Diceros bicornis minor: one gene and its partners. The protein of the gene in region 3 interacts with the protein of the main gene of each other region in a pairwise test. Links are inferred from orthologs where the notes say so. Each region holds a gene or a part of one and is shown on either strand. Other genes may lie near its edges.

What was found. The genes of interacting proteins can lie anywhere in the genome.
Region 1: the proteins of TRIM2 (region 3) and UBAC1 interact in binary tests that used the Homo sapiens proteins (3 or more experiments, as listed by UniProt). The link is inferred for Diceros bicornis minor from reciprocal best matches to the Homo sapiens genes TRIM2 and UBAC1.
Region 2: the proteins of TRIM2 (region 3) and LRRC8E interact in binary tests that used the Homo sapiens proteins (3 or more experiments, as listed by UniProt). The two-hybrid records come from large-scale screens. The link is inferred for Diceros bicornis minor from reciprocal best matches to the Homo sapiens genes TRIM2 and LRRC8E.

The regions. Positions count from the first base shown.
Region 1 is NC_080767.1:42,825,854-42,829,599, reverse strand, and holds the start of UBAC1 (ubiquitin-associated domain-containing protein 1), read right to left. Parts: upstream 2,469-3,746; 5' UTR 2,340-2,468; coding exon 2,202-2,339; intron 1-2,201.
Region 2 is NW_026691615.1:694,778-698,523, forward strand, and holds the start of LRRC8E (volume-regulated anion channel subunit LRRC8E), read right to left. Parts: upstream 2,812-3,746; 5' UTR 2,743-2,811; intron 2,461-2,742; 5' UTR 2,260-2,460; intron 902-2,259; exon of another isoform or gene 1-901. UniProt on the Homo sapiens protein: Non-essential component of the volume-regulated anion channel (VRAC, also named VSOAC channel), an anion channel required to maintain a constant cell volume in response to extracellular or intracellular osmotic changes.
Region 3 is NC_080750.1:41,471,912-41,475,657, reverse strand, and holds the start of TRIM2 (tripartite motif-containing protein 2), read right to left. Parts: upstream 2,423-3,746; 5' UTR 2,211-2,422; coding exon 2,208-2,210; intron 323-2,207; exon of another isoform or gene 1-322. UniProt on the Homo sapiens protein: UBE2D1-dependent E3 ubiquitin-protein ligase that mediates the ubiquitination of NEFL and of phosphorylated BCL2L11. Plays a neuroprotective function. May play a role in neuronal rapid ischemic tolerance.

The sequences.
Region 1 (3,746 bases), on a different chromosome or scaffold from region 3:
ACGTGATCTAAGAATGTTAAGTCACACCAGCAGGTATCATGTTCCCTACTGGCAATTTCACGAACACTTACCATACAGAAAACACCCCACCACGTTACAGATGTAACTTTCTTAAACTCATTAATCTCCTCTTACACAGATGGTTCACTCTGCCCGTTCCCCACTCCCCGACTGTGGGGCAAGAAGCCCACAGTGTCCCCTCAAGGTAGAGGGGAAAGAGAAAGGAAAAAAACGACACCAGCTTAGCACACACCAGGGGGACCTGGGGAGGAGGAGCAGGAGCTGACATCCGCCTGCCCCCTGCCTGCAGCAGGGCCTGGTTTCCAGGGGGACATTCGAGCACACAACTCGAGAATTCTCTTTCCTAACTAATGCAGTCTGACGGCTCAAGAGGCAGCGCTCTGCCTACAGAACGGGATGGGCCTGGAGGTGAGAATACTTTCTGATGGCTCTCAAGTCCTGTAATTCATGTTGTCTCTTTGGGTGTGAAACTCCCCTACTGATTGGATCCTCCACACCTGGAGGGACTGCAGAGTGGAATGAAATCTCAATTTAAAGTAGGATAATGCCCAGAAAAAATCCCAAACAATACATCTCAATACCGACTGGAATAATAAATATCGGGAACATAATAATCAGCATCATATCAAAATAGGCTGCCTAATGAACCCCAAGTGCTCCTGAAATTCATTAGCAAGCATCTGTGGATCAAACAGTTCTCATTTCCTGTTTCTCTTCATAAAATAATATTATGGCAGTTATGTAAATCCGTACCATTAGTGAGTTACTCAAAATGCCACACCAATTTACCCACTGACTTCTCCCTGCCTGCCTCAGCAGGTGACAGGCCACGTCCACGCAATTCTGGATCAGCAATCTGCTTCCATTTGTTCAATTAACCCACACGTGAGTTCTGGCGCTGGATGTGTGGATACAAACCCAGCCCTCGGGGAGCTCCCGTCCTGGGTGGGGGAGGACACAGCATCTCAGGGAGGCTTTTAAAAAACATACAAGACTAGACAAGCAGCAGTGCCTGGCTCTCAGTCTAGATGTCCATGGAGCCCCTGCCTCCTACCTCAGCGCTGTACTGAGGGTTATCTAGACAGCGAAACCACACCAACCAGGTCAGAAGATAAACAAAAGGCTGCCAAAACATACCTGCCCCTCCAGTGAGTGAGCCCAGAGCCCCCTCCTCCTCGATGTGTATCACTGAGGCCAAGACAGCACCGTTATTCACATCCAGCTCTCACAACCAGAACGCTCTCTGGCCTGCCCCAGACAGTTACAGAACTCCCCAGAACCACACTCACGGGAGTGACTCAAAAATATTTGTAGGTAGTTATTATAACTGGAAGTTTATCCTGGGAGATGACGCTTAGCTTTATTTTAACAAAACATCTTATCACAAATACAGATATCCAACTTATCACAATAAATATATAACTTAACGGACTGAAAGACCGCAGCCTCCTGTAACCCAAATTCTACATCACACCAAGTATAGAGTTTCCTTAGGCAGCCAGAGTCAGACACACAGAAGCCTTAGCCCGCCTTACAGAGTCGAGAAGTTTACCGAGAGGAAACCAAGAACTAGTTCCAAAAATCAACGACCTAAGAAACTAACTCGATGAGGAGTATTTCACGTGAATAAACTTTAAACGGCGGCTCTCTCAGGAGGAGCCCCTCTCCCGGACCTCCCCCCCGAATCAACCTCCAGGCCGCGGGAAGCAGGGGCGCGGGGACACTGTGTTAGGGGATTCCAGCTCGGAGGCGGGGGGCCAGAGCCCGTCCCGGCGCCCACGCCGGCCAACCGGAGACAGCTCGGAAGCCGGCTCCGCAGGGAAGGGAAGGGATCTCCCTCCTCGGGCATTCACTCCCAGCTCTGGGGGCCTGCTGAAAAACCCAGACCCTCACCCCGACAGCCGGTACGCACAAGCGCGGGTGCAGGAGGAAGCCCGGCTCCCAGCGGCGGCCTCGCCTCCCGGAGCCTCAGTTTCCCGATCCGCCCTCCCCCGCGGGCGGCTGTGGAAGGTGAAGGAGAGGATGGAGTGCAGAGTGCTCGGCCGGGTCGGGCGCGGGAAGCAGCGTCCAGGAGCGCCGGGTGCGGAGTGGGGGGAGGAGGCAGAGGCGCTGCCCGGCCCCGGCGCGGGGACGGAGGGACGGAGGGGCCGACGGAGGGGCCGGGGCGCGGCCGGCCTTACGTGCTTGAGGCAGCGCTCCTTGAGCTGCTCCACCGTGCTGTCCTCGGTCGCCTCCTCCAGCCACTCGGCGCCGTCGGACGCGCAGATGTGCAGCCGCAGCACCTTGCCCGTGAAGATCTTCTCCTCCTGCACGAACATCGCGCCGCCGCCGCCGCCGCCGCCGCCCGGGCCTGCGCCCGCCGCCCGGGCCCTGAAGGTCACCGGGGCAGGCGGGCGGGGCGGGGGCGGGGCCAGGCCGCCCGCGCGCTCCCTCGCTGGCCGCCGCCGCCCCGCCCCGGCCCCGTTGGCCGGCCGCCCGTCACTCGCCGCGGCCTGAGCGGTCGCCTCGCTCCGCCGCCGAGCCGCCGGGGGCGCGCTGTCGCCGCCGCGCCGGAAGTGCTTCACAGGGCGCGCCCGGGGCATGCCGGGAGATGTGGTTCCTCCGCGGCCGCCTGGCTCCCGTCGCGGCGCAGAAAGTGCGTCACAGGGCGCGCCCGGAGCGTGCCGGGAGATGTGGTTCCTCCGTGGGCACCTCGCTCCCGCGCCTCGCTGGATGTGCGTCGCGGGGTGCGCCCGGAGCATGCCGGGAGGTGTAGTTCTCTGGCCGCTTCCTTCCTCTCGCACCTGCCGCGCTTGGCAGCTGGGGGCCGCTAGCCGCGTGGAACCGTTGAGCTGCTAGACGTTTGCGGATGAGCGCTAAGCGTAAAATACACACCAGATCTCCCAGGATTAGGAGGAAAAAAGAATGTAAAATGCCTTAATAATGTTTTTATATTGATTACATGTTGAAATAATAGTGTGGATATATTGTAAATGTGTATGTATTTGGGCGTATTAAGTAAAATATAATGAAATTGATTTCACCTGTTGGTTTTTACTTTTTAAAGAGGCGGCCAATGGAAATTTTAAACTGTATATGTGGCTGCTATTGTGTTTCCCTTGTGCTGCGCTGCTCTGGAGCACTTTCTCAAAGTGCGGTCCCCAGACAGCGGCAGCGGGACCTGGGACCTTGTTGGAAGCGCGGGTTCTCCCCCGCACCCCGAGCCTCGCGTGTCAGAGACGCCGGGGTGGGCCCAGCACTCAGGCTGCAGAACCGCTGATGGACAGTTAGGGGGCTGGTGGGCACCTGGAGGGAAGGAGTCTGCCCTGTGGGCCGCAGTGCACCCATCTCCTGCGGGGCGGTGACTATGAATGCTGCAGTTGGGGCCGAGACCAGGTCACTGACCGCACCCATGCATTTCATTCATTCCAAAAACCTTTACTGAGCAGAGGTGATTACAACATAGTTCTTGTTCTCAGAGGCTGGCAGTTACATGGGGAGGTGGTCCCAGCTTCTTTCGCCCTCAGGCATTCACTCTCCACGTCATTTTGTACACGCGTCCTCGCTTGCCCCCGGTGATCCGTCCGATCACGTCCGAATTCAGTTTGTCCAGTCTAGCGTTTACTAATTGCCTCCATGAGCCAGACCCTCTGCTACTCACTGAAACGAGTGACGATTAAGGCCGGAGACCAGGATGCAGTCCTGAGAATGGGCGTTCTTATGCAGGAGATAGAAGTGCAGACTGT
Region 2 (3,746 bases), on a different chromosome or scaffold from region 3:
GGCTCCCGGCCCACTCTGTCTGTCCCTGGGTTTCATTTTAGACCAAGGTATCATTATTCCAGATACAGAGGGCCAGGAACAGGGCACATGGGGGCGTGGGCCACAAGCTGGGACATTACCGACGAGCCTCCCTCCGCCTCTCTCCCTGGGGCTGGAGGGGGAGGAAAGGGAGACAGCGAGGCCTCCACTGCCTCCAAGGGGGCTCCTAGGCTCCCCCTCCCAGCCTCCATGCTCCCCAATGTACAGCCCCTGTTTTCTCAGGCAGGTTCCTGGAGCCTGCTGTCCTCATCTTGATGGCCTGTCACTGGGCACAGGCTGCACAGGGGAGGGAGGCATCTGGGCTGCCCGCTGGTCCTCCAGCCTCTCTCCCATCTCCTGGGGGGAACCTGGCCCCTGTCCCACACCTCAGCCAAGCACTCTGACATCTCCATGCCTCCCTTTTTGGTCCTCTGAAGACCTTTGGTGACTCCTGGGTGAGGACAAGGTGGGGTGGGTGGGGTTACAGGATGCATGCCCTGCCCACCAGGCTGAAGCCTGGGCAGTCCACCACACCCCTCAATCCCATCAGAGGCTCCCACCTCTGTACCCTGTATGGGGATGGCAAGCAAGGGACAGGCACACGCCTGCCCACACCCGGGCTCCTGGGTCCCCTGACTCAGGCCCTGACTCACCTAGAACCAGGCACACAAAAGGGGTGCACAGACAGAGCACAGATCCCTCACATAATGGCCTGTCCCTCATGTTCGGTTTTACACCCTGTCCAAACGAAAAGCTGAGTAAAAGTGTCCCAGTGCATCATGTGCAGTCTCAGTCACCAAAGAATCTGATAGAAATACCCGAATGACAGCTCAACAGCCTCCAGGGGGCCGAATGTACATTGCAGCCACCAAAGGGACACGTGGGGGCATGCTGGAGCGTGCAGCTTGTACATGTGGGGACACAGTGCAAGTACACACACTGAGCTACAGGGAGACCCAGGACCAGGGAGCCAGCCACAAACCCTCTTCCAGCTCTGGCCACCCACTGTCCTCCCTGCCGCGTCAGGACCTGCAAGGGACCCTGCTCGGCTCTAACCTAAGAACAGTAACTCTGGGGGCTGCGGCAGAAACGCCACACACAGACAGGGACTGACTTCCTGCCCGAGTGCCTGCCGCGCTTCAGGACCCATCTCACGACGTTGGAAGCTCCACCACCCCCATCCCGGGTCCACAATCAAAGGCAAGAAGGCAGAGACCTCCAGGGTCCCCAGTGAATGGCCCAGTGGCTCCCACAGAGCAAGGTGGACACACAAAACCCTCAGAGGCAGACACGGGAGTTATCATTATCTGTCTCTGTGACTCAAACTTGATGGTCCCGAACCTGCCATTAAGCTTCCACAGACACAAGGGTGGCCCCCCTTTGTCTGAGCAGGGCTGGTGGGAGGGTCCAGGGAGAAGGGCTCTCGGGACCGGGGCCCAGAGAAGAACAACAACAGAGCCGCGCACCGCTGGCGGCCACCAGACGCTTTCGATGCCTCGTTTTGATTCCCCTTCTGTGAGCGTGGGTGTCGGGACCTCCTTTCCCAGACTCGGGGGAGTGAAATAACTTGCTCAAGGTTTCACAAGCACAAGTGGCATCTGAGGCGAGACCCTTAAGTCCCCTCTGTCTGATTGCATCGTTTGTTTCATCTCGGGCGAGAACCTGTTCGAGCATCTTTGCCAAAAGAAGCTCAGAGCGGGGTTCTGGCAGGGAAGACATGGGAGGATGGCTGATCTGCATGCCAGGCTTGTGGGGAGGGTCTCGTCAGCCTGGGACCAGGTACATGCCCCCTACCCAACCTTACCTCAGCCCATGCATCCTCACCCTTGCTTCTCCCCTCTCAGGCCCTCCCCAAGCCCCCAGCTTGCCTCCAGAAACATGGTGGTTGTGGGCTCACCTGGTCCAGCCCCCCTCCCCACCCACCCCCCATGCTAAGGGGCAAGGAAGACATAGCGACTTGCTGTCAGCCCTGAAACCCTGGAGAGGTTTTTTTTTTTTTTCCTGAAGAGGATTCGCCCCTAGATAACATCTGTGCCAATCTTCCTCTATTTTGTATGTGGGTCGCTGCCACACTGCGGCTGATGAGTGGTGTAGGTCTGCACCTGGGATCCTAACCCAGGGTGCTGAAGCGGAGCACAGGGAACTTTAACCACTAGGCCAGGGGGCCGGGCCCTGGAGAGGATTTTTGACTTGACCTTTACACAAGGGAGAAACAGAGGCCTGGGTGGGGGAGGGTCTCACCTTAGTGGCAGATCTTGGGTGGGGCCCCAGGCCTGGGGACTCCCAACCTAGTATTTTTCCAAGCTGCCCCGCCAAGACTTGGGGTTCAGAGGATTCTTGAGGCTCAAGAGTTGCAGAGGGGGCAGCCTGGTGAGGACCCCACGTGGTAGGGTTCTGGGGCATTGAGGGGCTCACACGGATGAGTTGTGGCTGTAGTCTAAGCTGCCAAGGAGAGGGGAGCGTCGTCAAGACCCCCAGGGTCACCCCCAGCCTGTTGATCTTCACTCAGTCCTCGGTCAGGCCTTCGGGGCTCCCTGGACAGGCGCCCTCGGGAGGGCCCGGGCTGAGCCTCTCTCTACCCCCAACCCCCTCCCCAGCTCCTTGCGTGTCCCGGACGCCGGCTAGCTCAGGCCACAGGGCTAGCCGCACCTGGAGCGGTCCTCCCGCGCGCGCGACCCCGACTCCGCCACCCCAGTCCCCAGGGACGGACAGCCACCTACTCACCGCTCCGGGACCAGACGCTGGGCCCAACTCCTAGGTCGCTGGGAGCGGAGCGGCCGCGACTCCCGCGGAGTTCCCGGCCCGCCTGGGTGAGTCAGGGGGGCGGGATGGGAGCCTGGGAGCCGCCCCGCCCCGCCCGCTGGACGTCTCGGCCCCGCCTCCCTCCGGGCGCTCCAGGTCGCCCCCCACTCCTGGCGCCCTGGGATCGCGGGAGGAGGGCGATTCTAAACCCGCTCTCCCCGGGGTGGGCAAGGGACCCGCCACAGGAGCAGGGGCCTTAGAACTCCAGGCTTGGCTGCTGTCGGCCGGACCTGGAGTGAGGGAAACTGAGGGGGCTGGAGGGCTGTGCTCCCAAAGCCAGCCTGCGCGCGCCCTTCTGGGAGCCAGGCTCTATAGACCCTATCAGGAGCGCCTGGAAGGCGCCCCCCATTCGCCCCAAGGTGCGGCCACCTGGCCTTGAAGCCCAACCAAGGAACCGGGTGACCAGGGACCAGGGAAGGGGAAGGGGCCTCCCCCTTCCTGCTCTGACCACCCAGCCACGAGGAGCTGAGCAGAGTTGGGGTGCTCTCCTGTGGGAACATGCCCATCCTTGAGGACAGCCTTCCACTGGGGAAAGAGGAGGAGCGAGCTGCTCCCAGGTCCTGGGGAGGGGGACGCCAGGGGCCAGAAGGCTCTGGGAGCTGGGGCTGGAGTCCAGTCTGGAAGGCCGGCTTCTAAAAAGGATGACTGCCTCCCCACCGAGGGAGGCCTGGGCTGGGTCTTAGACCAGCAAATTGCCCAATTCAGCACGGAGGCATCTGCGATTGGACCTTCATCGGCTCTGTCTGCAAAAGTGAAGGGAGAGGCGACCTGGATTAGGGTGAGTGAAGGAGACCCCTCCCCCACTGGGAAAAAGAAGCCCACGAGTTCACCAGATGAGAGACAGCCTGAGACCTGAAACCTTGAGGGTTGGGACCCCCTAAGCTTAGGTTCCTCTGTGAAACCCTGCAAGGGGCACGACCCTCAGG
Region 3 (3,746 bases):
TTAAATTCAGACAACCTACACAATAATAATATTCAGAGAACCCTAATAGCCAACTCCACTACAGACCACAAATTCTACTCTTACACTAAAATCCTTATATAAGTAATCAAGGGGCACAGATGCATCACAGATATTTTTTTTTAAAAGCAACTACAGGTGAATGGAAATTATAATTTTGCCAGAATTAGAAGTAATTCAGCCACGGTTTTGAAAGAAAAAAAAATTATGATAGCAAATGATTTGGTAGCAAGTTTTTTAATGTTTGAAAGTATTTCTCTTCTGTACATTTCACTAATACATACACATGTTTGGTTAAAGTCTTAGTTTTATGGGAGAGACAATGAAAAAAAAAGCACAAGGGAGTCTTAAAAATTAAGCTTAAATTTTTAAAAATTGCTATATATTTAGAATTTTTTTCTACTTAATAAAGATAGATAAAAGAAACTCATACATTTGGAGAAATTAATCTCTAAAGATATCCAAATGAAGGACATTTTCATTTCTTAGTAAGACAAAGAATGAGTATTTTTACTTTATTTCACAAGCAACAAAATCACCTAAGCTTTTGTTATCATATAAATTTAAAAAATTAAGTCATCTCAGGATTATAATATTAACTATGGTGAAAAATGTGTATAGATTTTATTCTCCATTTTTAAAATATGTGGGTTATATATGCTACATTCTTATTTCTCGAAACAGCACATTCTATCAGAGAACATTTTTACATTCAGCCGGGTCCTAACCTTTCAGTACAAATTGCTTGTGTCTTTCTAGGAGAAAATGGGAAAGAAATACTTAGAGGTTTGAGAAAGGCCACTACTCAGATCTCTGCAGCAGAAAGCTGCTTTCTCATAGCACAGCACACATGAAACTTCTCATTGTGTGTTTGCTTGGGAGGGGCGTGCATTATTTAACATGACACTGGGGTAGGAACAGTGCTACCAAAGCACCTGCTGAGAAATAATGAAAGGCACCCGAAAATAGGTTCACACCAGAATCCTAATATTTAAGAAATCAGTTTAAGAATCTGGGCAAACAAATGGCTCTCCTTACATATTCTAATTAACAAAAAAAAAAAACCTCTAATAATTTATTCATGAGGAATAAAACTGTCCTAATATGATCTAAGCCAGAGAAACAAACCAACAATTTTTAAAATGCCTCCTTCTGACTCTAGATCTGTTCTTTAAAACTATGACATTGAAACCATCTTTTCTTAAGACAACTATCACTTTACCTTTTGGTTCAGAAATCCACTTACTAACATTCAATTCTTAGTTTAAAATAAATAGCCTTCCTACTTGCTCTCCTATCCCCCAAAATAAGGAATAGTGACAGGGTGGGGCATACTTGTAGCAAAAGCTCTCTGATACAAAAATAATACCCACTGTTTCAGGAAGCAAACCTAAGGTCCAACCCAAGGATTTCTTTTTTTCTGTGTAATGCTACCATTGAACTCCACCCAGCTTTGAGTCTACTTCAAAGGCAGGGAAAAAATGTCAGAAAAAAAACCCCAAATTATCTCCTGCATATTTGCTGATCATCAATGGCATTCAGAATTCAGGGGGTCGAGTCATGCATTATGAATGAATGGGTTTCCAATGGTAACTGGGAACCTTGGCACTTAACCCCAGGGTTCTCTAACAGAGGATGGGGTGGGGGAAGGGTTGAATTGCACATTTTCCTCCGCCCTGAGATATGGAGGAAGGGATCCTGCAAATTAAATAGTTCATCCTCATCTTTGTACCCAACAGAGAGATGCAGGGGAAAAAAATTTCCTGTTTAAAATAAGCCGAGATACATATTATAAAAATGTCATCAGATCACTTTAGGAACTTGATATGAAAATCTTGCATGACTTTCTCCCTATTCTTGTTAATTTGATGCCTTTGTTTAAGCAAAGAGTGGGTCTCCCTCTATCTTATAGTTACAGAGCATACAGCATCACTATGGGGGTTGGGGGCTGGGGGGAAGCCAGAACAGAGACAGTATGAGAAATTAGTTATCCACCTGGCATAATACTAAGCAATCCGAACATTTAGGACCTACCCATTTCTGCAGACAGACTAATAAACGAGGCAAAGAATTAAACCCTCCCAAGCCTATCGCTGCAGCTCCGCGACGATCCAAAAGAACAACGCACATTTCAGCTAACATCTCAAGTGTGGAAGCACCATGCAAAGAGACTGGTTAAAATTCCCTACCATGCAGTGCAGCCATCATCAGAAGCCCAGCATATCTTCTGCTCTATGTAGTGATGTGCCAGTTCATGAACAGAACAGAGGAAGAGAAAAATGGAGGAAAGGAGAGAAGGCTCAGGAAAGTCGGCAGGAATGTTTCTGGGTCATTAACAAGTGGGAGACCCCCTTCGGTATTCAAACCCATCAATCTTTATCTCACAGGACATCTTTTTCTCACTCAGCGTCTGTTGAAAAGACTGCAGCAAACCAAGCAAGGGATTATGGGATAGGGATGCAGTAGCGAGCTGCAATGAGATTCGTGGGTGGCTTGCTTTCCCCTCTGAGTCAGCAGTCAGCTGTTTCCATGCTCTGGTGCTGGGCTGCTGAGGTCCCTCACCAGAATGTGACTGCACGATTAACCGAGGGAGAGGCAACCTATGCCCGTCTCCCGGTGCAACGCAGCCGGGACAGGAACCGTGTTAGAAATCGGAAGGAGGATGTGTTGATAAGCAAAAGGGGGATGCAGTGAGAATAGATTCTAGAAAGAAAACTAGGCATACGGTACCTCAATTTGAAAAGTGCAAATTTAGAGGAGAGTTTGGGTGAATGTGAGAGCACACACTTAACTTCCTTGAGTTAGAGAAAAAGATGATCTGTTTTCTTAGACTTTTCAAATAGCTTGAAACACAAATGCAAATTTTTAAAAATGCAATGCAGCCCAGTTCAACAAGCCTCTACTACCTTTTCCCCTCTTGGTATTAACCCAGAGAAGGGTCTATAAAACACAGCTCCTCAAAGTCAAATAATGCAAATGACGTTTCTCTGCTTTTTGTGGTCCTAATCATTCAGAGAAAAATCATAGAGTACATTTATTTGATTCAGGGGGTGAACAGAACCTGATGTTTTTCTGATGATGCACAAGTTTTCAGCTAAATGTTGAGAAACGACAAACTTTACATATATACATAACTTGATTTCCTATGAAGTCATTAAACTTATTTTTTAAAAGCTTTTAATAACATACTAATGATCAGCAAGTAGCCATATAAAAATGATTAGATCATCCTATTACGAATAATAATTTAGAATAAAAAAAACTTACATGTCAGAATGGAATTCACAATCATTCCCTTTTCTACAGCAATGGAGGCAGGGAACCATATTGCATTCTATTCCTACGTTAGTTACTTGTTTAAAAGTGGACACTAATAATTTTTATTTAAATCCTAAAACTGTGAATTTTCATATTTGATTACATTAATATTCATCACATCCCTTCCACGCAGTCAGGCACTGCACTGAGCCCTGTGAAGGGGCCCTTAGCTCTGGAGAGCAGTGATTACCTTTGGCGGAGGTAGGAGCGAGAAGGTCATAGAGAATCCAGTGAAAGAGAAAGTCATAGAGAATCCAGTGAAAGAGAAAGTCATAGAGAATCCAGTGAAATCGACAGATACGGGATGCCAATTTTAGTATGCTATTCCAGGCGGTATACAGTTCTCAAAAGCCCAGGTTAAGCCCCTGCTTTAGAAGTTTTCTGTTTTTTAACGGCTTTATTGAGATGTA